4 linked regions of the Notamacropus eugenii genome follow. Each later gene encodes a partner of the first gene's protein in a complex. Links are inferred from orthologs where the notes say so. Each region holds a gene or a part of one and is shown in the gene's direction. Other genes may lie near its edges.

What was found.
Region 2: TAF1B (region 1) and POLR1B share a complex: the UniProt entries of both Homo sapiens proteins name them as parts of the pol I pre-initiation complex. The link is inferred for Notamacropus eugenii from reciprocal best matches to the Homo sapiens genes TAF1B and POLR1B.
Region 3: TAF1B (region 1) and TAF1D share a complex: the UniProt entries of both Homo sapiens proteins name them as parts of the transcription factor SL1/TIF-IB complex. The link is inferred for Notamacropus eugenii from reciprocal best matches to the Homo sapiens genes TAF1B and TAF1D.
Region 4: TAF1B (region 1) and POLR1H share a complex: the UniProt entries of both Homo sapiens proteins name them as parts of the pol I pre-initiation complex. The link is inferred for Notamacropus eugenii from reciprocal best matches to the Homo sapiens genes TAF1B and POLR1H.

The regions. Positions count from the first base shown.
Region 1 is NC_092872.1:549,076,254-549,084,055, reverse strand, and holds the start of TAF1B (TATA box-binding protein-associated factor RNA polymerase I subunit B), read left to right. Parts: upstream 1-4,727; 5' UTR 4,728-4,809; coding exon 4,810-4,827; intron 4,828-6,169; coding exon 6,170-6,268; intron 6,269-7,802. UniProt on the Homo sapiens protein: Component of RNA polymerase I core factor complex that acts as a GTF2B/TFIIB-like factor and plays a key role in multiple steps during transcription initiation such as pre-initiation complex (PIC) assembly and postpolymerase recruitment events in polymerase I (Pol I) transcription.
Region 2 is NC_092872.1:602,816,358-602,823,533, reverse strand, and holds the start of POLR1B (DNA-directed RNA polymerase I subunit RPA2), read left to right. Parts: upstream 1-4,044; 5' UTR 4,045-4,816; coding exon 4,817-4,993; intron 4,994-7,176. UniProt on the Homo sapiens protein: Catalytic core component of RNA polymerase I (Pol I), a DNA-dependent RNA polymerase which synthesizes ribosomal RNA precursors using the four ribonucleoside triphosphates as substrates.
Region 3 is NC_092876.1:164,940,264-164,948,022, forward strand, and holds the start of TAF1D (TATA box-binding protein-associated factor RNA polymerase I subunit D), read left to right. Parts: upstream 1-4,677; 5' UTR 4,678-4,741; intron 4,742-5,044; 5' UTR 5,045-5,196; intron 5,197-5,438; 5' UTR 5,439-5,626; coding exon 5,627-5,726; intron 5,727-7,759. Other genes in the region: C5H11orf54 (ester hydrolase C11orf54 homolog), read right to left, coding at 4,362-4,537. UniProt on the Homo sapiens protein: Component of the transcription factor SL1/TIF-IB complex, which is involved in the assembly of the PIC (preinitiation complex) during RNA polymerase I-dependent transcription.
Region 4 is NC_092873.1:83,973,840-83,981,482, forward strand, and holds the start of POLR1H (DNA-directed RNA polymerase I subunit RPA12), read left to right. Parts: upstream 1-4,571; 5' UTR 4,572-4,821; intron 4,822-4,956; 5' UTR 4,957-4,965; coding exon 4,966-5,086; intron 5,087-5,314; coding exon 5,315-5,415; intron 5,416-6,173; coding exon 6,174-6,283; intron 6,284-6,755; coding exon 6,756-6,780; 3' UTR 6,781-6,821; intron 6,822-7,578; 3' UTR 7,579-7,643. Other genes in the region: putative uncharacterized protein ZNRD1-AS1, read right to left, coding at 1-690, 1,349-1,424, 1,834-2,066. UniProt on the Homo sapiens protein: Core component of RNA polymerase I (Pol I), a DNA-dependent RNA polymerase which synthesizes ribosomal RNA precursors using the four ribonucleoside triphosphates as substrates. Can mediate Pol I proofreading of the nascent RNA transcript.

The DNA.
Region 1 (7,802 bases):
CTATCATCCCTCCCTCCCCTTGTCCCCATCTTCTCTTTTGTCCTGTAGGGCCAGATAACTTTCTATACCCTTTTACCTGTATTTCTTATTTCCTAGTAGTGCAAACAGTACTCGACAGTTGATCCTAAAACTGTGAGTTCCAACTTCTCTTCATCCCTTCCTCCCCACCCATTCTCTTTGGGAAGGCAAGCAATTCATTATAGGCCATATCTGTGTAGTTTTGCAAATGACTTCCATAATAGTCATGTTGTGTAAGACTAACTATATTTCCCTCCATCCTATCCTGCCCCCCATTTCTTCTATTCTCTCTTTTGATCCTGTCCCTCCCCAAGAGTGTTGACTTCTAATTGCTCCCTCCTCCCATTACCCTCCCTTCCATCATCCCCCCCACCCTGCTGATCCCCTTCTCCCCCACTTTCCTGTATTGTAAGATAGGTTTTCATACCAAAATGAGTGTGCATTTTATTCCTTCCTTTAGTCGAATGTGATGAGAGTAAACTTCATGTTTTTCTCTCACCTCCTTTCTTTTTCCCTCCACTAAAGTCTTTTGCTTGCTTCTTTCATGAGAGATAATTTGCCCCATTCCATTTCTCCATTTCTCCTCCCGATATATTTCTCTCTCACTGCTTAATTTCATTTTTTTAAGATATGATCCCATCCTATTCAACTCACTCTGTGTTCTCTGTCTCTGTGTGTGTGTGTGTGTGTGTGTGTGTGTGTGTGTGTGTAATCCCACCAACTTCCCAGATACTGAAAAGTTTCAAGAGTTACAAATATTTTCTTTCCATGTAGGAATGTAAACAGTTCAGCTTTAGTAAAGTCCCTTATGACTTCTCTTTGCTGTTTACCTTTTCATATTTCTCTTCATTCTTGTGCTTGAAGGTCAAATTTTCTTTTCATCTCTGGTCTTTTCATCAAGAATGCTTGAAAGTCCCCAATTTCGTTGAAAGACCATCTTTTCCCCTGAAGTATTATACTCAGTTTTGCTGGGTAGGTGGTTCTTGGTTTTAGTCCTAGTTCTTTTGACTTCTGGAACATCCTATTCCACGCCCTTCGATCCCTTAATGTAGAAGCTGCTAGATCTTGTGTTATCCTGATTGTATTTCCACAATACTTGAATTGTTTCTTTCTAGCTGCTTGCAATATTTTCTCCTTGACCAGGGAACTCTGGAATTTGGCCACAATGTTCCTAGGAGTTTCTCTTTTTGGATCTCTTTCAGGCGGTGGTCTGTGGATTCCTTAAATACTTATTTTGCCCTCTGGTTCTAGAATATCAGGGCAGTTTTCCTTGATAATTTCATGAAAGATGATGTCTAGGCTCTTTTTTTGATCATGGCTTTCAGGTAGGCCCATAATTTTTAAACTGTCTCTCCTGGATCTATTTTCCAGGTCAGTTGTTTTTCCAATGAGATATTTCACATTATCTTCCATTTTTTCATTCTTTTGGTTTTGTTTTGTGATTTCTTGCTTTCTCACAAAGTCATTAGCCTCCATCTGTTCCATTCCAATTTTGAAAGAACTATTTTCTTCAGCGAGCTTTTGAACCTCCTTTTCCATTTGGTTAATTCTGCTTTTGAAAGCATTCTTCTCCTCATTGGCTTTTTGAACCTCTTTTGCCAATTGAGTTAGCCTATTTTTCAAGGTGTTATTTTCTTCAGCATTTTTTTGGGTCTCCTTTAGCAAGGTGCTGACCTGCTTCTCATACTTTTCTTTCATCTCTCTCATTTCTCTTCCCAGTTTTTCCTCCACCTCTTTTACTTGATTTTCAAAAACCTTTTTGAGTTCTTCCATGGCCTGCACCCATGGTATATTTATTTTGGATGTGTGGGATACAGAAGCCTTGACTTCTGTGTCTTTCCCTGATGGTAAGCATTGTTCTTCCTCATCAGAAAGGAAGGGAGGAATTATCTGTTCACCAAGAAAGTAACCTTCTATAGTCTTATTTTTTTTCCCTTTTCTGGGGATTTTCCCAGCCAGTGACTTGACTTCTGAGTGTCCTCTCCACACCCACTTTGCCTCCAGATCCACCCAGCCAGTGCTTGGGGTATGAGATTCAAATGCTGCTTCCCAGCCTCAGGGCTTTGGGTGGGGGCAGGGCTGTTATTCAATGTGAGATTAAGTTCAGCTGCTCAGGTTGGGGCAGGGCCACCTCACAGGCTCAGTTCCCTCAGGGGGTTTATGGGGAGACCTTCAACAATGGATCCGAGTTCCTGCCTGCTTGGGAAGCCCCTGTCCGCCCGCCACCTCCGCTGCTGCCTCCCAAGGGGGGCCCGAGCCACGGGGACACCCCACTCCCGTCCGCCACCCAAAAAGACTTTCTCACCGACCCTTGTCACCTGTGGGTGGAGGGACTTGCTTGGCGCTGGAGATTCTGTCCCTGAAGCCTGCTCAGATCTGCTCCTCTGGGCACCACGAGGCTGAGGCAGGGCTGAGCTCTGCTCTGGTCTGGGGCATGAATGGACCTTTTGCGTCAGGTTTTCAGGGCTCTCTGGAACAGAAATCTTGTCCACGCCATTGTTCTGTGGCTTCTGCTGCTCCAGAATTTGTTGGGAGTTCTTCTTTACAGATATTTTATGGGCTGTGGGTTCGGAGCTAGCATATGTGTGTCTTTCTACTCCACCATCTTGGCTCCTCCCCCTCAAGTCATTTTAAAGTACCTACATTAACATGCTTTGTTTTCTGAAACTTTGTTACCTCTTGTGCGCCTTGTTTCTTATCATTGCCCATACTGCTTTCCTCCCTTCTCCTACATCATCCTGAAATCTAGTCCCAGTGCTGGCACTGAGGCCAAGGAGAACATGTCTAATTGCAATCCTTCCCTGTCACCCCCCACAATTGCCCTTCAAACACTGGAAGGAAATGAACATGTCCCCAATATTCTCTTCATATTAAACTTTCTCAATTCCTTTAAAGGATCTTTTATCCTCCCGTGACACAGTATCTAACTTTCTCATGGTCTTGTGAACCATTTCAAATCAATTGCCTTCCAGTTTAAAATGCATTTACCAGAATTTTAACAGGTACTCTGGATGTGGTCTGATTAGGACAGAAGACATGAGAAATTGTCATCTTCTCAGTCCCGGATCCTAAACCTTTCAATATAGCCTAAGATATCAGTATTTTGGGCTACCATGTTGTAACTCTGTTTTTTCCTGTGACACTGCCACCACCCTGGTGAAGGTTCTCCTGCTGCAAATTTCACCTCACTACATATAGTCCAGCCTCCAGTCAGCTACCAAAGTGATCTTCCTAAAGCATAAGTCTGATCAAGTCACCAACCTCCCTCCTATTCCCCTCCATTCAACAGACTCCTTATTACCTCCAGGATCAAATATAAAATCCTCTGTTTGGCTTTTTAAAGCCCCTTCATAATCTGTCTCTTCTACTTACCTAGTCTTCTTATACCTTACACCCCTCTACATGCTCCATGTTTCAATGACACTGTCTCTTTGCTGTTCCTGGATGGAGTGTGCCCTATACCTCATGTCTTCACATTTTGATTAGCTGTCCTCCATGTCTAGAACCTTCCCCCTCCTCACATTCACCCCCTTGGCTTCTCTGGATTCCTTTAAGTCTCAGCTGTGGTTGTGGATTGTCCTTCATTCAGGAAGAGGACCATGACATGAGGAAGATAATGCCATGACTTGCAACTGAACCGGATTTGAGTGGGGGAAGGTTGTGCAAAGTTACCAGCCTCACTTTCTTCTCCAGAGTCATCTGGGTTCAGTGACCAGATACAGATCAGGACAACTGGCCATGGCTCAGGATGTAGTGAGAGAGAGTTCTCACTTTGACGAAACAGTGATTGGGCCTATTTAAGAAGTCAGCCAAGGCCCCTTTAATCAATCAATTAATCAATCAATCGATCAAAAACTGGGAGGGGAAGACCCTCAGAAGTCTCAGCTAAAGTCTCACTGCAGGAGATCTTTCCAGATCCCCCCAAGTCTAGTAGTGCCTTCCCTTTGGGATCATCTCCCATTTATCCTGTATATATTTTCCCACTATGATCTTTTTGGTAAGCCCGTGAGCTCCCTGAGAGCAGGCACCGTTTTTTGCCTTTCTTTGAATCTCCAGGGCGTGGGCACAGTTTGATGCAGGCTGGCTGACTTGGTTTGACTCGACTTGCCCTGGTTACCGAGCTTCCGAAAGGGCTGAGGCAGACCACAAGTCTGGTCTCCTTTACTGCAGAGCCAGGCCTCTGTCTAGACGTTTCACCCAACGCCTGGTGAGCTCCCGGTGACAAAGGGGTGTGGGTTTGTCTCTGTATCTCCACCACCTGGCACAATGATCGGCACACGGCACGCTCTCAAGAAGTACCTGCAGAATGGGGTGGAATGCCCATTCAAGTTCTTCTGATTAGAGTCCATCGGTCAATTAGCATTTATAAAGCACCCATGCTCTTTCACTCTGCTAAGCGCTAAGGACACCAAAAAAAAAGAAAGGGAAAAGACAGTCTCCGCCCTCGGACTTACGGTTTAACGGGAGAGACAGCAGGAAAAGAGCCAGCTACCGGGGGTGGCCGCAGGAGGAAGGCGCCGGCATCCCGACCTGCCTGGGCTGCGGCCAGCCGGCTGACTTGGAAACCGAAGCTCGGCGGAAACGCGAGCGGCGGCTCCCGAGCCGGGGCTGCCCCATTCCCGAGCGCTCCTCATCCGGCTGCGCCGGGAGGGACGTGGAGGAACGCAGCTGCCCCGGAACCGAAAGTGCCTGCCGGTGGTTTCCGCCCCGGAAGAGTGCCCCTGAGGACTTCCGGGAACCTCCGCGGCGCGAACGTGCATTCTCTGAGTAACGGAAGACCTGGGCTCCGCTATGGAGTTTGAGGAGGCGGTGAGGACTCGGGGCCCGGCCGGGAGGGCTTGGTCAAGGCCCCCGGGAGCAGTGAGGGCCTGGAGTGTGAATGGGTGTGGGTGTGAGGGTGTGTGTACACGGGAGCGTACGTGTGTGTGTGCGTGTGTGTGTGGGGGGGGGGGGTGTGCGCGTGTTTGAAGAGGTACCGACCGTTAGGTGATGTGACGGGGTGTGTGCGCGGGAGTGCACGTGTGTGTTCGTTTAAAGAGGTACCGTCCGTTGTTATGTAGCGTTAGGAGTGTGCGCACACGTGAATTCCACAGACGCTTGTTTAAGCCCCTGAGGAGTTCCCAAGTATGTGCTGGCCTCTGGAGGAAGCGGGATGGGGGAGGGGAGATCAAACACCGGGTGGGACGGAGCCTTCCCTTAAATAACTTAGGTTCTGCTGGAGGAAAATGGCCGTACTTAGATAACTAAGTCAGGTTGGAATTGAGAGGAGCGTGGAGATGAGGGGCGTGTGTGTGTGTGTGGTCTCTTTTTGTATCCTACGTGGCAGTTCCACACAGTAGGCTCTTAATAAATGTTTATTGATTGATTCATTTCGTTATTGTCAAAGCTTTCCAACTTTGTGTCATTGGAATTATGTTTTTTCTTTTTTTTGGATCACCTCTGTTCTTTAGTTGAGAATTCTTTCCCCAGCCACACCTTATTATTCTCTTTTTTAGTAGTGTAACCTTTAATCGGGTCATGTATCCATTTTGAGCTTATTGCGGTGTAAGAGGTTTATATCCCATTTTATGTCAAAGTTTGCATTCTGGTTTTCTTCAGTAACTCCATTATCAGGGTCCTGTGAGTCACCTGAAAGAGAAGACCTCACTTTTCAGACCATCTGTCCCATACCTGATAATTTCACAAAATCACAGAATTTGGGAATAGAAGGGACCCTAGCAGCTATGCAGTTCAATCCATACATAAAAGGAATATGGGCAGGGATATACCAAACAAGTGGTCCAACCTCTGCCTGCAGAATTCAGCTCCCAAGTGGGGGAAACACAAATTATCAAGGTGCAACTCATCTCACTTTTTTGGTATACCTCTAGTTTTTAGGAAGTTTTTCCTGATATCTCTAAAACGAACCTCTTTGGTTCACACCTCATGCTGAATTTTTGGTGGCATCTCTTAGGACAGGACCACGAAGATCATCTTCTCCAATCTGCTACCCTCTCAGTCCCCCTTTCTTTGTCAGGGCCTCTAGTTCCTGTCCTCCTACTTAGCTACACCTCTCCGAGTAGCTAAATGAAGTATACAGTAATGGAAAATGCACTGTCTAGATTTATATTTGAGTTAAATATATTGAATGCATATTTTTCTTCCTTTACAGGGAGACTTTAATGAACCCTGTACGCAGTGTGCTGCTGTTTCCTGGGGAGTTACTGATGAAGGAACATATTATTGTACAACTTGCCTCAATGTTACAGAGGTAAGTTTGCTTACATTTAAAAATTTCTGTAATGAATAGAAAATGCTGAAATATAATTTGCAAAGTTTTATAGATGAACAATCCAAATATTTTCTTCAGTCATGTCATTTGAAAATATATCTTCGCAAAAATTTTAGACATAGGATGATGTCTTTAATTATTATATTGATTCTGCCAGAAGTTTGAAGTGGTTCTGTTTAACTACTAAACATTAGACTCCTTCAGGGAAGAAATTATCTTAGCTTCCTTCAAGGAAGAGATTTTAAATCTCCTAACTTGATCTGTGGTTTGATATTGTTTTGGTCTGGAAGCTGTGAATTTATTGATGTAGGGAAATACTTGTTGTGGAAGTTTCCTGCACTGACACAGATCAACAAATCTTCTGTAATATATATGTATAGGAAGTTGCCTGAGGCAGTGAGAAATTCCATGACCATGGGTTGTCAAAGTATAGACTTGAACCTAGGCCTTCATGACTTGAAAGATGGTCCTGTATCCATGGTGCCACACTGCTTTTGTACATAGCAGGTACTTAATAAATGTTTATTTTAGTATTCTTGGAATTGAACTCTGGGACTCATTTTGGACTTTTAGGATGATTTAACTCTAGTTATTAATACTGTTAAAGGTTTTAAATGTTATTCTAAATTGTTCCCTACGTATATAGCTGAATTTGCTATAGTAGCGAAAAAGACTCCCCAAATACTGCATATTACCTATAAGAATATTGGAATATAAGCAGATCCCAACAAATGTACCATTAAGAAATTGATGTCTTAACCATGTGACCAAATGTCTGTATGAACTCCCCTTCTCTCCTTATTGCCTTCTTCAACAAGCATTTCTTAAGTGCTTAATATGTGTTAGTACTGTCTTAGGTTCTGGGATAGAAATTAGACAGTCCATGTTTTCAAGTAGCTTCTATTCTATTAGGAAGAAACAACATGTACATATATAAGTAAATCCATACAGAATAATTTGACTTTTTTGGGTGGGGATGTAAATCAGGAATAAGGAAAAGTCCTGTATAGGAAGAACTTGAGCTTGAACTTGAAGGAAACGAGGCCTTCTAAGAGGTCGGGAGGTGGGGAGGTTTTGCATTTTAGGTATGGGAGACTAACTGGCATGTAGAAAGAACAGCAAAGAAATATGGAAAGATATATGAAGTAATGAAAGACATGGTCAAAAAATAAGAAAAGCAACCAATATGTTGACTAAAGCAGAATAAAAAAAACCACTTAACTTTTTATAAATATACAGGTGAATAAAAAGGACAAAGAATGAGTTGATTTTTGTTATTAAAATTTTTTATGTTGTTGTTTTTCAATCATAATGTTTGGATTTGATGATTTTATCTAGAAATTTATTCCATGTTTTGTTTGTATTTGTTGAAAGTGTAACTATTTTAAAAGTAAAAAAAATCTGTAGAAGATTGTTTGAATAGCAGCATGGCACAGGGGAACGTTTGCTGAATTTGGAATCAGAATCTGGATTTGGATCCTGGCTTTGCTACTCTTTACTTTTGTGAATTTGG
Region 2 (7,176 bases), about 54 Mb from region 1:
TTGAGTTTATTCTCAGGGTAGTATGAACTAGACAGAAGATTCAGAGTTTACAATAACCAATAAGCCTCTTGTTTTATAGGAATTAATCAACTCAGGCAAGGAAAGTGAAAAATACTGTTAAGACCTAAAGGACTGTAGGGTTCTGAAGGCCCAATATGATCACTGGAGTAAAATGTTTTTATCCTTTTTATTTTTGGAACAAAGAAGTTTAGAGCTGGGAGAGACCTTAGAGACTAAAGTGGAATGGGGCAGAAGGGAGAATGCTAGATTTGGAGTCAGAAGATCTGATATTGAGTCTCTACTCCTCCACCAATGACTACCTTGTGATGTTGGGCAGGTCACTTAATCTCTCTTGATCTCAGTTTTATAATATACAAAATAGGGGGAGGAAGTGGACTAGATAATCCTTAAGGTCCTTTCCACATCTGATTCCAGAGGTAACATAGATAACATGATTAATCTAAAATAAAACCATATTTTATGAGGCAACTGAGAGGAAAGAACTGTTATGGCTTTTACTGTAAACTCTACTCTATTCTAGGGACAGTAGAATAGAATGTATATAGCCAGAAAAAACTATGACTCAAAGCAATACAATGTTAACTTTTCCAAGAGAAAAAAGATTTTTTTTTAATAGAAAATAGCTCCATGAGGGCAGGGATTGTTTCATTTTTGTCTTTGTATTCCCTGAAACTAGAACATCTGACACATTGTAGGTGCTTAAGAAATACTGAGTAATAGATGGGCATAAGAGTAAAAAAGTGCTACGTCTATCATTTGAGGGGTTCCCTACTTGCCATAACCTTAAGAACTGGGGGAGAAGGGGGAGTCTGTGTTTTTCCTTTATATTTTGATACTAACTTATTGTGTGATTCTAGGGGAGGTCTCAACTTTTTATGCCTGTTTCTTTTTCTGTGAAAAGAGATCGTAGCCTGATCCATTGATCTGAACTATCCTTGGGATGAAGGATCATGTGTACATATTCAGAGATATCTGATGATGATCATTTATTAGAATGATCTTTAAGCAGTAGTTTCCTTCCATTCGTTTTGTAGAGGTTCACTCCAGAAAATACCAAGGTAGCTCATTATCTGGCAACAGGGTAAATAACTTTTGTCACGGATGCTAAAAGAAGAGAAAAGAAGTCTCTAATGCTTTTTGGTAACACTGAGTGCAATACATTCAAGAGAATGTAGGAACAAGTATGTGGTTTGTGATGCTAGGATTCCTCACAGGAGGAATATTACTTGAATTCAGAATTGGTGAACTGCTTGTTGGAACAGAAGTCAGAATGCTTTAAATTCCTTTACTATCTTTCTAATTGATTTCTTACACATCAGATTACTTAAATTAGCTCCTTGCAGAGAACTGACTAATATGTTGCTTCTAATGCCATCAGTTAGCAACCAGCAATACATTAATGTTAAAAATTAACTTCAAAAGCTAGAGAGATTTAATTCATTAAAAACTAAAATTTCTCATATGTAATCTGTATGCCACACTGGCATTAGTCCTCTTCCAAAAACTCACAAAGCATAAATCATACTGATTCCTATACCACAACTTGAAAGAAAACGGGTGCTAGTGACTGAGAAAGCCTATCTGAAAAATACTTTTTCCTATAAAGGCATCTTAAGGAAGAATATGTATTGAGCTCAGAATAAAACATTTACAGATGTATAATACAATACAGATAAATAACACATTTACAATTACAACCCATAATAATAGTTTGATGAATGATAGCATCCTGTTACTGGGAAGAATATTTTGTCCAAATTAACAAAAGGTGTAGACAATTTTGAATTGAAGTTAAAATATGTAATGAAGTAAAATTTGATCATTAAAATATAAAATTTATCAGTACTACTGCACTGATGGTAAATTCTTTAATCTGAAAAGGCTATAAGCCAAGATGAAAGTGGAGGAAGTGTTGGTGCATGATTTTCTGTTTGCAGATGATTGTGCACTCAATGCAGCCTCTGAAGCTGAGATGCAACAAAGTATGGATCAATTCTCCACTGCCTGTGCTAATTTTGGCCTAATAATTAACACCAAGAAAACACAGGTGTTCCATCAGCCACCACCACATCATTCATACATGGAACCATCAGTTACAACAAATGGAAAAGTTTTGAATGCTGTGGGTAAGTTCACTTACCTTGGTAGTATACTTCTTGGAATGTATACATTGATAAAGAGGTTGAATGCCAGAGCTAGCCCAGTGTTTGGGAGACTCCAAAGGAAAGTGTGGGAGAGAAGAGGTATTAGACTGAATATTAAGCTGAAGGTCTACAGAGCCATTGTGCTGACCTTGTTGTATGTGAAACATGGACAGTCTACCAGCTCCATTCCAGGAAACTGAATAGCATCCATTTGAATTGTTTTAGGAAGATTCTGAAGATAACCTGGCAGGATAAGGTACCAGACCCTGAGGTCCTTATGTGAACTAAAATGCCAAGTATTCACACACTGCTAGAAAGAGCACAACTCCAAAGGGCTGGTCACATTGTTCCAATACAAAATGTACATTTGCCGAAAAGACTGTTTTATGGAGAACTCACACAGGGCAAACATTCACATGGTGGTCAGAAGAAGTAATACAAGGACACTCTTAAGGTGTCTCTCAAGAACTTTAGAATTGATTGTGTGACATGGAAGAGACTGGCGCAGGACCACTCAGCATGGCATGCCCACATCAGAGAAGGCACTGTGCTCTATGAACAAAGCAGAATTGAAGTGGCTCAAAAGAAACACAGAATGAACAAATTTAGAGAATCTCCCCCAAATGTTCACATGAACAATTTGTGCCTGATCTGTGGTAGAGCTTTCCAAGCTCATATTGGTCTGATCAGCCATAATCAGACACACTGAAACTTAAGAGACTCTGGCATAGTGATGTCATTTTGGTCCTCTTCAAGAACAAAGGACCACAACCAAATATATCTGACTAATACCCTATCCAACACATGTTTGTGAAAGGGCTTCCTTACTCTGTACTTCTATGTATCATTGGGTGTTAATTTTAAAGTAACACATTTTTCAACAAATTGCAAAGTATTTTTTTGTCTAATATGCCCCTTGTTCCTTCCTCTCCCAATTAGCTAGAGGTCTTTCTGATTCAGCATATCTAAATCAGTTTTATTGAAAAGCGTTTGAATGATGACTTTTGTCACAATTTTCAGTCAATATATGGCCAGTCATTTGTGTTAGAAAACAAATTCCATATTTAAAACAAAGCATATTTACTATATTTCAATTATTATTGTACCCTTACTCATTTTCTGCCCCCAGAGGTTGACTGCAACAATAAATGGCAGTGGAATTCAAGCCATGTAAGAGAAGTGAAACCAGCCTCATATGTGACTAGACCACTTTGTTGAAACTGTAATCAGGGCCTTTGCAAGACTGCATGCATGTCTATGTTCAATGCATTTCCTGGCAGTTCTCCAAACTTTGTTGCCTACCTAGAAAAAAACACTGCGCAATCAATGTAGAAATAACATTGTATCCACAGAATCAACCTTTGGAAAACAAACCACAATGAAAAGAAATATCTGTAACAGTAATTGGCATACATACAGAATATCAAGAGTTTGTGTAGTTGACATACCAGAGCATGAATGTATGTATATGGATCAGATGGGATTTTCGTGACTACATTATACACAGTTCCCTGATATCTGTATCCAAATCAATTAAATATGAGGGGGGGAAACTATTTTTCCCGAATTCCTAATGGAAGTAGAGGCAGGAGGGAGAAAAATTCTAATGGAAACTATGATGTTATATATATTAAAATTATGCAAAGTTGGAAGGAAGATCAGAGATCAAGTCCTACCTCTCACCCAATGCAGGAAACATCTGCCAGACGGCCATCTGGTTCCTATTGAAACACTTGCAGTGACAGTGTGTTCATTACATCATGAGGTGATCCATTTCATTTGGACCGTTCTCATTCTTAATTGGCCCGTAAATTCTTTTCTGTTTTGCCTAAGCGTGTCTACATTACAATTGTTAAAACGTAAGATGTGTATGTTTTAATTCAGTCTGATTCAGCAAACATTTATTTAGTGCCCAGTATAAGAAAGGTGCTTTAGATACAAAGATGAAAATGACGTCACTACCCTTCATTAAGGAGCTTTTCAAGCAATAGTAGACCCATTTTACAAAGTGAGAAACTGAGTTTTGTAGAGAATGTGGAGCTGCCTGGGACGACACTTCTAGCCTCAGTTCAGGCAAAGCCTGGGAGAACGTGCGCATCGGGGGCCGAGGCGGCGCAGGGCCCGCAGTCCACACGCGTGGGCCACCAGGAGACGGTGGTACAGTCAAGATTCACAAATGGGGGGGAGGGGAACTGCTCTCAAACTAACGATCTCTGAGATACTGATTTACAATACCATACGTTTGTATATTTATTTAAACTAATCTACTTATCTTGCTAAATAGTTCCTAATTACATTTTGTTCTGGTTCCGGCGGATCTCAAGGAATTTTGTGGGCACCCTGGTGCCCAGGGTTTGACAACTCTGTAACCCGCCAGTGAGCCGGGCGGACTTGGAAAAAAATCACCAAAAAAAAAAGGAAAAGGAAAACAGAAAGTACTTCTCACGTGGGCTGCTGGGACTTGTAGTTTTCCGGTTACGGGTCTGGTTTTTTTGGGTTTTTTTGCTGGCGCAGATGTGACGCTTTACTTCATTTACTACATTTACTACATTTCCCAGAATGCCACAGGAGGGAGGGGCGGGAGTTAATGACGAACTGCCTTCTGGGATGTCCAGCAGCTGTGGCTCGTTTCTCCCACGCTGTTAACCGGCATGGATCCCGGTTGTAAGTGGCGGGACCTACCCGGCGGGCCCAGCCTGAAACACTTGACCGAGCCGGGTTACGGGATCCCGAAAGAACAGCAGCTGCCGGCTTTGCAGGAACTCACGCGGGCGCACATCGAGTCCTTCAACTATGCTATGCGAGAGGGGCTCAGCCACGCGGTCCAGGTGAGCGGGCCAGCCGTCCCTCCCAGGGGCTCACTTCCCCTGACTCCTGCCCCATAACTCGCCCCCCGGCTTTCCTCCCCGCACTGTCCTGCCCTCTTTCCGACCTGCCCCGAAGTGTGCCCCTTCCCCTTCAGGCTTCCCACCTTCCTCCTCCTACGCTGGTGTCCCCCCCTCCAGCTTCTATCTCCTACTCTGGTCTCGTGGCCCGACCTTCCCGTCTCTCCTCTGCCCCCATCCCCGTCTCGCGGTATCGGGGGTGGGCCGAGCTCTTGCCCCTTGCCCCGCTCTGTTCCCGCGTGACTGGCTCTGTCCTTGGGGGCGGGGCAGAGGCTGAGGGCTGAGCCCTGGAGACCGGGAGGAATTGGGAGATCCGGGTATATGGGAGGATCTCATTCCCAGCAGGATCTGAAATGTTATTCTCTCCTTCTTCGCAAGAGACTGACTCTCTCTCTCTGTCTCTCTCCCTCCCCCCCTCCGTCCCTCTCCCCCTCTCCCTCCTTCTTCCCTCTTCCCCTCTCCCGTCTCCTCTCTCCCTCTCTCTCTCTCTTCCCTTCCCTCTCTCTCATTTTCGCCCTCATCTTTCCCTCCTGTCTTCTAAACTATCCTCCCACCTTCTGCTACAAGCCTTTCCTAGTCCTCCTTAATCTTAGTACTTTTCCTCTGAGATGATCCCCAGTTTATCTGCATGTTGTTTCTCCAGTATTTATCTTGTTTTTACTTTCTCTCCCCCATTACCCTATGAGCTTCTTGAAGACTGGGATCAAATTTTGGCTTTCTTCTTATCTGCAATACTTAGCATAGTCTCTGTTTCATAGTAAGTTCTGTATAAATACTACTGAATTGACTAAGCCTGGAAATTAATGAGAGCCACTCAAAGGATTGTTTGTCATGCTTGTTACCTTTGACAATTTATTAAGCGGTATTTTGAGCAAGGGAATAGTTGCTGGTTGAGAGTGTTCCCTCCCATTTATTCAGCAGTATTTATTATGTGTTTATTGTCTACCTTCTTCCCATGGAACGTAAATTCCTTTAGGGCCAGGATTATTTTGATTTTTGTCTTTATATCAACATCCTGTGTATGTAATGTGGCACCTAATAAGTGTTTGTTTGATTCATCTTGCTAAGTTCTAGGGTAGAGCTTCTTAAACTTTTTCCACTTCACACCCTTCAGCAGTGTGAGTGGGGGACATGATATGAGATATTCCCACGAGTATGTACAAAGCTTAAGAAGACATAGTCTTGCCCCATGGAGTTTACTAGATAAGAGGATAAGACAAAAATACATAATAGAAGCCAATATTTAAGTTTTCCCAAGTACATCATATCCCAGTTTCTCCTTTGAGCCATATGGTGAAATGGTAAGAAGGGCACTTAGAGGTTTAATTATTCTGATTTTGTTTATTTCTTAAAGTTAGGTTCAGAGGAACTGAGTGAGAGACCTGTGGTCTCACAGCTCAGAAGCATTAGAGACAGAATTTGAACCTAGCTCTCCTGTATTTTTCCCATTTTACCACACAAGGTACAAGACAGAGCAGTGACCTCAAAGAAGAGGGGTAGAGCAGAAGGCACATGACCAGGCTTTGAGAAGTGTGTGAAGGGGAGCAGCAAGTATAGACTAACTCATCCAAAAAGTTTAGCATTGAAAATGGGGAAGGAAATAGTAAAACAGTGTTAGTAGGGTCAGGGGAAGGCATCTTTTGATATGGAGGCATGCTTATAAAGTAAGGAAAGAATTAAAGGAAGAGTAAATTCAAAATCTTCAAGAAAAGATGATGGTATGAAAGGCCCAGTAGAAGACAGGATCAAATGCACAGGTGGATGGGTTAGCCTTGAGAAAGCAGGGTGACTTCAGTTCTTTCTTTGAAAGAAGAAAAAAGAAGCTGGATGAAAATACAAAAGGCTTGAAATATGAAAGAGTGAAGCAGAGGGAGTTCAGGTATTCAGGGAAGATTTTCTGTCACTCTGCCCCATAAAGTCACTTAAAGGAGATTCTGGCTTCATTCTCCTTTTCATGTATAAACCTGATCTCCTGTAACCATCTTTTACTTCTGTAGGCTCAGGGATACAAATAATGTTTTTCATATTTATGAAGTCATTAATGAGACCCTTCTATTGAGGGAACATAGAGTGATTGCAATCCAGTGATTGCCCTATTCTTCCTTGAATAGCTTTAATTTTTATAA
Region 3 (7,759 bases), on another chromosome or scaffold:
CCTGGACTACCAGACGCCCTCTCCCCCCATCCCTCCTATACTCTTTTCTGTATTTAAGTTCCATCTTGCCTCCATGAAGGTACTCAGATTCAATCCAGCTCAGACTCTTGTCTAGCTGGGATTCTATCTGGCCCGCTTGTGCATACAAGCATCACAAATACTTAGGCTCCTTAAGAGGCAACCCAATTAGGCGAACCCTTAATAAACTTTGTTTTCTTTGGCTTTAAGAAGGCTTGAGTGGAATTCATTCGAGCATGACCTGGGCTGTCGGTATTTTGGGGTCCCCTTCACCCCTCAACCTCTTCAACTCCATTTGGGGTTTTCTTTGGATACTGGAGTGGTCTGCCAAACCTTCTCCAGCCCACTTTACAGATTAAAAAACTGAGGCACACAGGGTGAAGTGACTTGCCCTCTCTACTCACACAGTCACTTCTGCCTAAACTACTGAAGTGGCTTCTCAGTGAGTCTCTTTGTCTCATCTCTCCTCACTCCAGTCCATACAGCACAGAGCTGCCAAAAGGATTTTCCTAAAACACAAATCTCACCGTATTATACCCCTGCTCAATCATCTCAGTGGCTGCTCATTAGTCCTAGGATCAAATAGGAATTCCTTTCTTTGCCACCCTATGCACCTGGGCTCCTCCTTATACTTCCTAGCTTTATTATACAATATTCCCTTTTACATTCTTCACTCCAGGGAAACTGGCCGCCTTGCTTCTCACAAGGGGCATTCCATCTGTTCAATCATATCTGTGCCTTGCACATCCCTTAGCTGGTATGCATTCCCTCTTCACTTCGATTCTTTAGAAACTCTGGTTTCCACCAATGCTCAGATCAAGCACTATCTGTTACATGACAGAACTTTCCCTAGTTGCCTCCTTCCTCCAAAAACCTTTTATTTATTTTGTATATAGTGATAGGGTGAGAGGCAGTATGCTGTAATGGACAGAGAATTGCCTTCCAAATCAGGAAATCAGAACTCTGAACCATACCGTCTGTGTGACCTCCTGGCAAATCAGTTAACCTTGTTGCCCTAGTGAATTCTCTGAAAACTACAGTACATAATTTTCAGAGAACGGGTTAAACTGCATCAGCAGAGAAAGCTTCATTATCAGTGAATTCCCCACACTAATGAAAGCACAGGTCCAGTCCTGATACTTTTTAGAAGATCACGGGATCATAAATTAAGTGCCCAAAGGGACCTTATTAAGGAGATCAGAGTCCAACATGTTTGTCTATTTCACAGATGAGGAAACTGAAGTACAGAGAGGTTAAATGATTACAATTTGAATCCACATCCTGACTTCAAGTCTGTGCCTATCCCATGTCTACCAACAGAATATATACTGGAGAGAAAAAATTGTTTTATTTTTGTCTTTGTATCTCCAGAACCTTGTAAATGCTTGTAGATTATCTCAGAAAATGTGGACAAAATTGTAAATAACTACTGAGAAAGAGAAGGAAGGATTAAGCATTTATATAGCACCTACTATGTGCTAGGAAAGGTGCTAAGTGCCTTTTTTTTAAAACAACTATTATTTCATTTGATCCTCACAACAATCCTGGGAAGGTAGGTGCTATTAATTATTGCCATTTACTGTTGAGAAAACTGAGGCTGACCGAAGTAAACTGACTTGTTTGAGGTCTCACAGCCAATAAGTATCTGAGGCCAAATCTGAACTAAGATCTCCTTCTCTGATTCCAGGTCCAAAGTACTATCCACCAGACCACTAGCTGCCACCCTTGACTTCCTATTGGGGGTCTTCAGTGCTGCCTTTCTCAAGTGATCCCAAAGTGAAATACAATCCAAATTCAACACTTCTTTCAAAGCCTTCCTTGATAATCCACCTCCCAACCCATGACTCTCGTTCCACAATATGTATGTGCGTGTGTGTACATATATAGGCTGTATTTTGCACTTCCTTCTATACTATTCTATTAAAAATCATCTCTTGTAATCTAACTTAAACTTAAAAATCCTACTATACCATCTTTGACTTGGTGAAATCTCTTCCCTGAGGGCCCGCCTCTTCAGTGCCAGTTTTAATTTTTTGCAATTCAAAGAGGTTGACTTCTTGGCTTCAGGAACTGTAAGTTTTCCTCACAAGAACAAGCATCAGATGCTGAATAAGTTGTTCGGAGGGTGGCACTTGGTAGATAACATGAGTCAGGGAGAATGGGGTCTTATTGATGGGGCTACCTTGGGGATGGACAGGTTAGAACAGTAACAGTTCTTCTGTCTTCTCAATAGAAAAAAAACAGCTTACTGAAGAGTAGGTGTTCAGTTTCATTGCTTAAAAGTAGGTATATCACTGTACAATAATGCAACATTTTAAAAATATATAACTTATTACTTGTATTACATTGATTAGCTGTTTGAGGTTGAAGAGCAACCCCCAACACAACCAAAAGCTTTTCTGTATTTCTTGTTTGTTTACCTGACCCTGGGCAAATTCCTTCTCAGTGCCCCAGGCACTTTTCCAAGACTCTAAACTGCAGAGTAGGTGGTGCCTTCTGTATAGAAATAGGAGGCCTTTCTTCACAGGGAGTTTCCTATACCTTTGAAATGATGTTTGATCCAGAAAACAAAAAGCCTCCATTCCTTCCCCCCATCCCCACACAAAAAAAGAAAAGACAACACTCTTTAATCTCCACCTTCCCTAGGGGCTGGCACACAATACAGGTAGTTTGTACAAAGGTACATTTAAATGGCCCTTTGGCTGTTGCTTTACTAGTCCAAGCATTCAACAACCAAGGCATGACACTTGCCCAGGATTTTACACCAGCACAGATAAGTGGGGAACCAAAAGGCAGAATGGCCCTCTGAAAATCTGGGATGACCAGAGACAAAACATAAAGAGCTAGTGGTTGAGAATCCCTGCGTCAGCTGCTAGTTCAAGACAGATATGACATGGGGCAAATCAGAACACAGCTCCAGCCTCCCCAGCAGAAGTTCATAGCTTGAGAGTAGGAGGCATATCTTCCTGAAGGAAGACCATCGCTAGCACCTAGATGACACGGTAGCTTGTTAAGTCCTCCTCCTTCTCTCCCTGGATTCTTAGACCCAGTAAGAAAGGCAATATTATTAGGTGCTGCTAAGTGGTTACATAAATGCCAAGCATCATCACCCCCACATCATGGTTGGGGAAACTTCCACCCTTGTGTCCCCTGACCCTGGCCCAGGCCCTGTCACTACCTGCCAGAGGAGGGGCTCCCCACCCCTTGGGAAGCCCTCCTAGGGCCTTGTGCTGGGCATGTGGTGATGAGGTTCAGACTCTGGGAACTTCCTTGAGCTCCCTTGGAATCTCCTCACTTAACCTGACCTTTTATACACAAATTGAGCTCCTCGGGTATCTCCCCACAGAACCTGGCTTTTCATACTCAAATCTGGGACCATTACCTGTTATCTCTCGATTGCCCCACCTGCTTCCCACCCAAACCCTCCAATGTCTGCTATCTCCTGATAGCCTCCAGCTGTTTCCAGCCTGTGACCCTCCTTGGATTCCCTCCTAGGACTTCTCCTCAAGACCCTCCCTAAACCCCTCCTCCCATCACCCTGGACCCCAGACCACCCCCCCAGATCCCTCCTACAGTCTTTTCTGTATTTAAGTTCCATCTCGCCCCCATGAAGGCGCTCAGACTCTGTCTAGCTGGGATTCCATCTAGCCTGCTTGTGAATACAAGCCTTACACATGCTTGGGCTGCTTAAGAGGCAACTCAATTAGGCGAATCCTTAATAAACTTTGTTTTCTTTGGCTTTGAGAAGGCTTGAGTGAAATTCATTCAAGCTCCACCTGGACCGTCGGTATCTTGGGGTCCCCCTTCACCCCTCAACCTCTTCAGTGGTGCCCTTCTGTCTCAGGCAGGAATGCACTTTGGTAGATTGAGCCTCAAGTCACGAAGACCCGAGTTCAAATGCAGCCCTAGCCAGCTAGGCGACCCTGGGCAAATCACTTCTCTGTGTGCCTCAGTTTCCGCATCTGTAAAATGGGGACGGTGAAAGCGCGGCCTGGCAAGGTAGCGCTTAGCACAGCGTCAGGCACACAGCAGGCGCTTAATAAACGCTTGTTCCCTTCCCTTCCTGGAACTCCGGGCGCTTAGCAGCGCAGCGACCACACAATAAACACTTAAGATTTCACTGGCTGACAGGCTAAAAGAGGCCTCGGGACCTGGCTGGGGCCACACCCCCCGCGGGGGGCCCCGGGCAGAGCTCGAACTCGGGTCTCCCTCGTCAGCTCAGCCGGTTCACATCGCGCTGGGCCGCCAAAGGCCGCGGCGAGGGAGGTTGGCGGGGCTCCCCCGAGGTCCCCGCGCTCCCTCCTCCTCGGCCGCCCCACCACACTCCAGGCCGACCCACTTACGGAGCCTCGGCCGCCCCCTCCGCGTCAGCCGCTCGTCCGGACCGCCGCGATGGCAACCTGGACGGAGGACTGAGCGCACCTGGCTCCGCCTTCTCTCCATGTCCCCACCCGCTCCCGAACTCTAGGCTCCGCCCCCGCCACGCAAGATGGCGCTCGAGGGAGGGGCACGACCTCATTCCCACTCCGGCTCCTCCCCACGCTCTCCGCTTCCGCCTTCCTCCTCGCGCCAATCCCGCTCCCGCTTTCTCAGCCGGCAGCCACCTGATCTCGCGAGATTTCGTCACCCTTCTTAGTCAGGCGGCGAGCTCCCAGCGTCCTTTTTATTCCTCGCGCACCTGTAGGTCTGCCTTCATCTCTGCGAGTGTGGAAGGGAGCGCATGGTGAGTGGCCCTCTTTCTCTCTCCCGTCTTCCTCCCTGCCCGGGGCAGACTTCTCACTAGGCCTCTGGTGACTTGGCCCTTAAGAGGAGCCAGGAGGCCCTGTTCGGGTTTCGCCGTGCGGCCTCCACTGGGCCTCGCCCCGGTGGGGGGCTAGCTGGGACGAATCCTCCGCGAATGTCGGAGGCCCAGGAGCGCCGGCTGGGTCGTGGGCCCGGTGGGAATGCCCCACTTAGTGGGAGTCGGTAATACTTTTTCTTCCCTCGGGCCACACCGATATTTCGATCTTAATCGGCGTGATTAAAGAAACGGGAGCTTCTCCGGAACCCCATTCATAGAACAGGAAGCAGGCCCCAAGAGGGGAGGCGCCACGTGGGTGAGATTCAGCGGGTTCCTCCGCGCCGCACGAGCCCTCACGAGAAGGGCTTTGGGAACCCGAGGTTCTGGTAACGTAACGGGTGAGCGCGCGGGGAGATGGTGAGTGGCATTTCTGATGTAATCGGGACCACGGAGAGACGCGTCCGAGGCCGCGCGGGCGGGAGGAGCCTGGGCGGGGCGGTTGGGGAGACGCGTGAGCTCGCAGGGAGGTGGGGAGGAGGGAGGGCCGGGCCCAGCCTGCAGGGACCCCCCTCCGTGCCGCAGCTCGTGTTCTTGGCAGAGAGCCTGGGGGGGGGGACATTTTTTCCGGCTCCTTTTACAGATGAGGAAACCGAGGAAATAGTGGCAAACAGGGTGAAAAGTGACTTGCCCAGGCCTGCTTTGCCATGAGACCGCCTCGCTGTGTGCCTCCCCTCCTCCCCATTGGATCGTAAAAAGGTTGGAGATGGAGTAAAATGGTCTCCAAATTAGCTAAAGTACAAAGGAAGCTCAGGGAATTCTTATGACTGGATGAAAATTAGGAAACTAGCCAAAAACTGCTCCCAAGTACAGCCAATTAACTCCTGTCACTGGAGGGGGAGAGAAAAAGAAATCCTCCTGGGGGAAAAAGGTGAGTGTTGGCTATTCACCTAGGACTTTAGTAAAAGAAATAATTATACATAATATTTGTATAACATTTCTGAATAATGACAAGAAAAACTACCCGTTCTAGACAAATACGTTGACCACCAGATCGAATCCTGGGTCTCAGGAGGACCCAAGTTAAAGTCCTGCGGGACTTACTGGTTCTATCATCCTGGGCAAGTCACTTTTAGCCTATTGCCTGCCTCAGTTTCCTCAACTGTAAAGTAATGGTGATAATAACATCTACCTTTTAGCAAGGTTGTGAGGATCAGATAAGGGTTTCTTTGTAATTGTGTTTTCCTATTCTCTCCCCACTGTGCCGTGTGTTGGAGGAAGGGGACCCATAAACAGTACCGATGCAGGAAAAGACTCAGCACTATCCACTGCCCCCTCTTAGCTGCATGGAATAGGTCATAGGAATTGAGGCTGTTGAAGTAATAGTTTCTGGTGTTTGAAGGAATTAAGGCATGTATTTGAAGTCCCCTACCGCAGTGATCGGTACTAGTCCATGCCTGCTATGTGCCAGGCACCGTAGTAAAGGGATGGGGTGACAGTTCCATGCTCACCGAGTGGGTACATCAGACATCCCAGATGGTACAGAGAGGTTAGAAATTGGGTGTTCTGTAATCTCCCTGCTTAAATGGAGGTTTTGTAGTCCATGGCTTCTCTTTCCAGTCAGGGACAGAGGGTGGTGATAAGGTGGAGTAACCATGGCTGTTGAGATCTTTTGCAAGATGAAGAGGTTTTTTCCAATAATGAACTTCCTGGGACTTGAAAGTGCAGACAGGTGAGAAATAAGGCCAGAACTGGAAGATCCTTAATTGGAAGCTTTGGGGTAATGGCCCCACCCACCAAAGAGGCAGAAGGTAATTTAGTGATGCATTAGAGAACCAGAGGTTGATCAGCTCTTATAGCATCAAGTTACCGGTAAAGACCTGTCAAAAGTCTACTAATCTGTACATCAGGATCCCTGCTGGCCCCATATTAGCTTAATTTAAAAATGTGATACTAAGTTGTACTGTGTTTTTATTGTTAAATGTTTCCCAGTGACATTTTTGAGGTATAAATTGGGTTGAGAAGTCTTGAGCCTGTAAAAACTTGAGAAAGGAGGGAAAATAACCTAGGATCTGGTAGATAATGACCACTATTGCTAGTGAAATTTAACGAAAAATGTAAATAGAAGCAAATATCTCGGACCAAGATAACAATTTTATTAACTGGGCATGAACCTGAGGTCAATGGCTGCTTCAGTTTCTAGCCAAAGACCCCAAATTGAAGATGCAGCTCATTTTTGTAAGCATAGAACAGAAAAACAGTACAGAGCAGGTAATATGTATGGTGTTGAGAACCCAATAGTTGATGGTTACATAACTGAGGTATGGGGTACAAGATTGGTTGGAAGTTTGGTAATGAGGGGCGCTAGCAGTGACCACCTCCTTTCCTCCTGTGACTAAAAAGTATTCAGCTTCAAGAACTAGTGACTTTGGATAACAAACTAGATATTCTTGAAAGGATTGCTTGGTGTGGTGTAAAGACCCTTATGGCAAACCACATCCTGAGCTTAGCTAAAGAGAACTGGGTTTCTAAACTTAAACCTTTTACAGGCCAGTTGAATTCTGGACTATGCTCATGGACAAAGAACCCTGATTAAGGCAGTTAACAGGACAAAATAAGTGAATTGTAAATAGGATCCAAAAAAAAAGTAAATCAGTTTAAACTTCTCACATCCAATATCTAAATTGGGCAAGTCAGCTACTTAATATTAAGTACCTACTATGTGCCAGGACCTGTACTAAGCAGTAGGGAAACAAATAAGGCATTCCCTAACAGGAAGACAATACACAAAAGCTGAAAAAGGAGGTATGGGCAAGGTATCCTGCACTGGGAGCATGGTAGAGTCTAGTCCAAGAAGTGCATCTGGTGGGAAAAGAGTTGACTGGTGCACGAGCCCTTTTTAAATGGAGGCTTAGGGATGAGTTCTTTGCTCTCTTCTTTTCCAATCAGAGGGTACTGAAGAGT
Region 4 (7,643 bases), on another chromosome or scaffold:
CACATCTTTTTTTTCTGATGATTCTGCCACAAGGACATCCAGTTTGATTGGACTTTCATCGTGAGGTTGGAGAAGTGGATAAGCAGTGCTCCATCCAAATCTTTTATGGCTCTTCTTCTTTATACGCTTTAGAAATGGAGGAGGATGACTTGGGATTCTTACAGAAAGTCTTTCCTTGTTTCTTTCTTCATTAAGTTCTCTACCTCGAATCATGCGTTCTAGATGTTCTTTTGTCTGCTGCTTCCGGTCCCACTCTCTTATCTGCTTTCTCATCGATGGGGTCATCCTGATGACATCCTTTTTACTTTCAGGTGAAAGGATTTGGGGAAAATGTGTTTTGCTTGGGATTTGGGGGAATGATTCCCATTTTGTATCCATACATCTGGCCTGTTCTGCTCTGTGTATGTGACACTCTATTTGCTTTAACTCTCTTTCTGATACTACGTAGTCCCATTCTTCAGACTCTAAGCTTCTCTGGCTTTTTGGTGTTGTCACTGGCTCCATTCTGGGCTTTTTAAATTCATTCTGTTCTTCCATCATTTCCATGATTCTCGTATAGTAGTAATTCTCTGCCTTAGCAAGTCGGTGGTCAAAAGACATAGCCTTTTCTTTAGAGAGGGTCTCATGTTCCTCTTTATGTCTTTGAGCTAACAGATTTCTTGCTGCTGGAGTATGCACACCACCTAAACTCTGTCAAAATGAAGGGATTTTTTTTTTTCCATTTTTCTACATTATTGTACACAAGTATGTAGACCAACTAAACTGTCAAAATGAAGGGATTTTTTTTTTTTTTACATTTTTCTACACTATTGTACACAAGGGAAGACAGTGAAGGCTCCCTCAGAGACAAGACACTGACTGGCTTTCTCTACCTTTGGTAAAAATAGCAATTAGGCTTGATTCACTTTCACTGCTAAGTGTATATACATACATACATACATACATATATATGTATATATATATTGAGGCCTCATTGCTAACAAAGTAAGAAATATATATACCATGATGATTATTTTTGAGAGTTTTCAACCCAAAAGTTTGACTTGAGTTCAAATTCAGTCTCAGACACTTAACTAGCAATAACTGTGTGATCTGGACAAGTCACTTTAGCTTGTCTTCAGAATTATTCTGTAGAATGAGGATAATAGTATCACCACCTCCCAGAGGGCTGTGGTCCATGAGAATCAAATGAGATCATATTTGTAAAGTGCTTTGCAAATCTTAAAGCATTATGTAAATATTAATATTTTGTTTTCCAACCTGAACTGGGAAATTTTGCTAGCACGGAAACTTGCTAAATGAAGATACCATAACTCTCTATTGCACAGTGCTATGCTAATTAACTTACCACAATTTTTTTTTCTAGTGGAGAGTGATGACCTATGGCAATGCGAGGGTCTTCGGTACTTTTTGCCCAGGATAATCTAAACAATGAAAAAGACATAAGTATTAAAACTTTGGAAACTGTTTTAAATAACTAAGATAATGAGTAAATTCTATCACAAAGTTGGACCAAGAAATCTAATGCTTATATAACTGTAAATAAGGGTATTTCTCAAGCAAGGACTTTTTTCTCCCTTCCCACTAATACTACATTAGATGTGGATAGATACATACACATATACACACATATATTAAATACATAGATTATTTATATATGTATATTTTATATTTATATATATGTAGATATGTATACACATATACATACACACAAAAGAGAGAAAAAGGGTAGTTTTTCCCAATGTAAAGAAGTTGCCCTTTCTGAGAAGAATAAGGAAAATTTTGCCCCCTGATTTGTTCAAAAATGGAACAATAACCCAAAATTGTGCTTACTTCTCTTGAGGACTTAGCTTTACCCATTCTGAGTCTGGGAGTGTAGAGCTGGACACAGGAGAGCCTGGCTTCTCTTCTGGTATTCCATTATCCCATATTTCTACACTAGATCCAGCACTCTTAGAACTTCTTTTCTTTTCTGGCACATTTCTTATCTCTGGACATTTCAGCTCTTTCTCCTTCTGTAGCCTCTTGGCTCTTGCCCTCTGGGCCTCAATCTGCAGATACAACATCTTTGTACTCTGGTTCTTCTTTGTCCCAGTCTGCTCCCTAAGCTTTAGTTACCAACCTTTCCCTTTCCTACCCTTGCTCTCAAATCATCATTCAAGAGAGTTACTCTCCAACACTCTAGTCCCTAATACTCTGAATAATCTTCTGACATCCTTTAGGATGAGAAGTTGCTGTTGACATGGGTTTATTTATAGTGCAGGTTGATGTCAACACAAGGGAAGGTCACAAACATTCTTCTATGTCATCACTGACCTAGTCTGAGGTTACATGAGATTGCATGCTTAATATTTAAATGATTTAGATATTGCAAAATTGATATCCCACTAGATATTTTCTCTAACACAGTCACAACCCCAGTTTGGGTCCTCAGATCACTTCTTACCTGTTCTGAAATATACAACCTTTTAATTGGTCTCTATGCCTCAAGTCTCTCCCACTCTAATCCATTCTTGACATAAAGTGACTTTCCTAAAGTGTAACTTTGACAAAGTCATCCATCCTGCCCCTTACCCCACTCAGTAAACACTCAATATTTTCCCATTATCTATAGCATCAAACATAAGCTCAATGTGGCATTTAAAGTCCTTCATAACCTGGACTCCTCCTAGCTTTCCAGTTGCAATAAAATCACTACTATTAGAGCTCTCCCCTTCCCTACTACATGGGTTAGGCTAGTTTTTCCTTGAAAGGAAGCAAAGTTGTTCTAAGAAGTTGATGGGGGCTGAGAGTATTCAAACTGTGCTTTCCTTGAAGTAGCCTCTGGTCATAATGGCATGGTTTACCTGTGAGCCACCTATATGGATATCAAGGTCCTTCAGATTTGGTGGGTGTCCTAAAACCTGTGACTGTAGAATCACCACATTCTGCCCTGGTGACCAGACAAATTTCCTGGTCTATGCAAACTAAAATGCTGGAGTATCCTTGTTGAATATCCTTTCTATGATATGGCTGTGCAAACATTTTGTTAACTGATATTCTAATGATCTATGAGTGCTTCATTTCATTCCAACATGAATTAGGTCTGCCCCAACACCAGTTTTCTTACACATTACTCTCCTCACACACTGTACAATCCAGTCTATTTGACAATCCTCACACATTTAAGTTCTCTCCCATCTGCTCACCTTTGTACTGACTGCCCTCCATGAACTCCTCACTTCCATACCTCTTGGAATCCCTGGTTTCAAGACTTAGTTCAAGTACCCCCTTCTGCAGTTCTTGGTCCCTTCACAACAGCTAGTACCTTTCCTCCAAAGGCTACCCTCTCTCTATTCTACATGTGCTTACTTAACATACATGTCTCCATTAGAATGTAAGCTCCTTGAAGTTACAGATCATTTTTTTGCATGTTCTTTGTATTCTCAGTGTTTAGCATAGGCCTGGCATGTTTTATAAGTTTATTTAATGCATACTTTTTTTTATATAAGCATTGTTGTTTAATCATGTTTGTCTTGTTGGACTCTTTGTGATCTCATTTGGGGTTTTCTTGGCAAAGATACAGCTCATTTTACAGGGAAAGCAAACAGGGTTAAGTGACCTGCTTGTGATAACACAGTTGGTAAACCGAGAGGCTGGATTTTCATTCGGGAAGATGAATCTTCCTGTTTCCAAACCTTGAGCTCTATCTATTGTACCTATAGATACATATAGATACATACCTATGTATTATAGCTGCTCCTATATAAGCATTAAGTATTATTACGCTTACATGGGCAGCATCACTCTTGGAGGTTCTTGTGGAGTTGTAACAATATCTGTGAAATTCCATGAAGAGTTTGACACTACTGAAAAAACGACTAAAAACAAAAATTCCACTTACAAAAGCAAACCTATTTTAGAAACGCTTACTGATGGATCAGCTAATTTGATAACTAAAATGGATTCCACTGTTGCACATGACCCAGTTGGAATCTCACAGATATTGTTAAAACTCATTGCTTCCTTAACTACAAAGACCTCCAAGAGTGACGCCGCTGCCCGTGTACACCTAAATCATCTATCCTTGCCAAATATCTCATGAATGGGAACACCATATCTTCTCATGGAAATCCTCCTTACTCCCTGGCTTCTTGTATTTTCTCTATAAAAATGAAGGTCTGGGGTCGAGAGGAAGAGATGAAATTATGCTCATGTCTGAGTTCTGATCTCCGACTACTCTTGCCAGATTGATTCATCTGAGATTAAATTCCCATCATTCAAAGGCTCCCCCCCCCCCCAACCCCGCCATGGCCTAGGAAGGGAGAAGAGGCAAAAAAAAAAAAAACTACAACGCACAGCGAGTCCGGCTCCAGCACCCATAGGGAAGCCTCCGGGTCCCCTTACTGTGTAGTGCAAACAGCAGCAGCAGTGGGACAAAGGCCTGGGGGAGGTTGTTCCTTAAAGTCACACTGCGGAACAGACCTCGGGACAGAGACTAGACCCGGAGGACAAGAGGAGAGAAGCGTCTGCTCGAGTCTAGAAGATAACCCTAGGTACAGAGGCCGCGCCCGTACGTCCGCCGTGGGCGGGGCTGCGGGGACGCGGAAATCTCGCGGCGCTCCAGGATGCTGGAGGCGGTCACGTGTTCTCACTGTGACGCTACAGCCTCTCCAGAGCCCGGCGCTCCCCTAGCCCAGCCCCGCGTGGCCCAGCCCCGCGTGGCCCAGCCCCGCGTGGCCCAGCCCCGCGTGGCCCAGCCCAGCGCAGGCCGGCGCGTCTGCCAGCGCGAGCTGACGTCCCGATCCGAGGCGCGGGCTTGCTCCTGGAGCCGGAATCCTGGTGAGAAGCTACCGTTGGGGCAGGATGCGGGTCGGGCACTGAGAGCAGTCACGGGCGGAGGGAGGCAGGGGATTCGCCGGACCCCAGGTCCTGCGAGGAGAAAAGAATGGCCCCCGCTTAGTCTCTTCCTCCCAGGTCATCTCCATGGACTCCAGCTTCCATTCGGACTCGGATTTCTGCCCCGAATGCGGCTCAATTCTGCCTCTTCCAGGAACTTTGGACACAGTAACTTGCCCCAGGTGTGATTTCTCCATAGACGTGCGGGGTAAGAGCCCCTCTGGAATAAGAGGCTTTGACGAGCATGGATTCTCGGTGCAGGGAGGTTGTGGGGGAAGGCCCTGAGCTTGAGAGACAGTCTGGTGTCCAGAGGCCAGCCCTGAAGGTGCCATTAACCAGGGGGTGGGACCCGTAGGGACGGAGAGAGGCCGGGGGAAACGGTGCAGGATCTCACCTTGTGCCTGAGCAACGAGCAGCCCTCCTCCTTCTCTTCCAGAGTTCGAGGGGAAGGTGGTGGCCACCTCGGTCGTGTTCCACAAGTTGGGAACACCCCTGATGGTGCCAGAGGAAGAGGGGCCCGAGTTCCAGGGACCAGTGGTGAGTTGAGTGAGAGTCATTCCGCTTCAGTTACATGGCTCCATGAGACGTTAGATCTCGAAGTCTTAACATATGTATGGATCAAGCCAGCAGATTCAACAAATAATTATTATCTTTTCTGTGTACTGCATCATATCATTAGATATAATAGGGGCCTGCAGTGTGTAATATTTTGAGGCAAAGTGGATTGGTAAAGGCTAAATCTAATTCATGCAAAATACAAGATAATCTGAGAAGGTGAAGATCAGTTTTAGCTGAAAGATAAGGGAAGGTTTCATAAAGGAGTTGTAAATCTTAGGCTACCAGAGATAGAAGGAGCCTTATAGATTATCCAGTCTGATTTCATTCAATGAAAATGAAATTGTGGCCCAGACAGATGGTGACTTGCCTAGAAACAAACAGCTCTTGGGTTGGGCAGTTTGGGATTTGATCTCAGATCCAAATTCAGCATCTTTCTGCTGTATTACATTGGGCCTTAAAGGAAGAGAAGAATTTCAACAGGTGAACACATTTTAGAAATGGTCAATAGGCTACAGTTAGGATCAGGAAACAGCTAGTTAATTAATCCCTTTTGTCTGGCTGTAGAGCACAAGCAGGGGAATACTATAAATAATAAGCTAAGTTAGACATAGATTGTGGTGGGAAAACCGTAAAATACCTGGCGCACAAGTTGATATTAAATTCTATAGGTACTAAGGAACCACTGAAAGTTTTTGAGCAGGGAGCTATGAGTCCCTCCTAATTTACTGATTTCTCAGATTGACAGGCGCTGTTCCAACTGTGGTCATGAAGGAATGGCATATCATACCCGGCAGATGCGCTCAGCTGATGAAGGACAGACTGTCTTCTATACCTGTACTAATTGCCGGTGAGCAAGGATTTCCTTCTTTCCTTCTCCTCCAACCTCCTCTCCCCGAGGTGTTAGGACATGAATCCTACATCTGGATCCACAGTGGGTCCAAGTGGATTGTGTTCTCAGCCTCAGATTCATAAAGACCTCAATTGAAATTTTGATTCTGATACTTACCAGCTTTGTCACCATGGATAAGTCATAAGTTTGCTCAGCTTTAAAATCATCTTAATACCTACTTCACAGGGTTCTCATGACACTTAAATGAGAACACTATGATTATTAATATATACATTCAACAGTGGTCAAGCTCATCCTTTTCCTCCCACTGTTTCCACATAGCCCAGATTAGTTGAAGAGTCTTTTCTGAGAAAACACGTCAGATGGGAAAGATATGTGACTTCTCTTGATTGATTGTCCAGTTCATTTCTAGGAAGTACTTTCTGTCTAATCTGACAATCTGTCTACTCTGACAATCTATTCTCTTTAGGTTCCAAGAGAAAGAAGACTCTTGATCACTACCTACCAATTGGACTCAACTCGTCCTATTTGAAAGGTAGGCCCCTGGTTAAATGCTGAATCCTTATCTGACACCCTAGACCTGTCTGCTCCTGTGGTACCATGCTCCCTTGTTTTTCATCTTCTTATAAGTGATTAAAGCTATGTACTTTTTGTAAAGCTGTAGTATGTTTTCAAATTTTTGTGGTTAAGATCCTAGGAAGAGAGTGGAGGAGAACAAGACAGTGCAGGATGATGGAGTCCCCAAGGCAATAATACTACTTAGTATTATTACTGTCTGCTATTGTGGGAGAAAGAGAAATGGATCTAGAGTCAGGAGTGGCCTGAGTTTGTATCCTGCCTCTGACACTCGTTAGTTGTGTGACTGACCATGAATAAATTACTTAACCTTTCTAATTCTTAGTTTCCTCATCAGTGAAATGGGGATAACATAAATATAAAATACATATATTATCTTACAGTTACTGTGAAGGGTCAAATGAGTTGTAATGCACTTGCAACATAAATATCTTCAAAGGGTAATTCATTCTTATCAATTTGGGTATTCCCTCCAGTGGTACAGATTGCAACTCATCCCTGTCCAGCCTGTGTTTTTTTATTTACTTTCATTAATGCTCTCATTGGGCCCTTTCTTGCATCCTCTTCCATTGTGTGGATCCTAGTAGAGCACAAAGGCTGGTTAGTTCACTGGTTGCCTGTCTATGTGGTGATGAGTTCACTTCAGTCTGATCATACTCTTTGATGTCATATTTTATACTTCTCCCACGTAATTCCTTATTTGTAATGTGTTTCAGCATTCTTCCTCCACAGAGTCCTTCTGCAGTGGCTCATGATATAGAAGTGACCTGGGTTCTGGAGG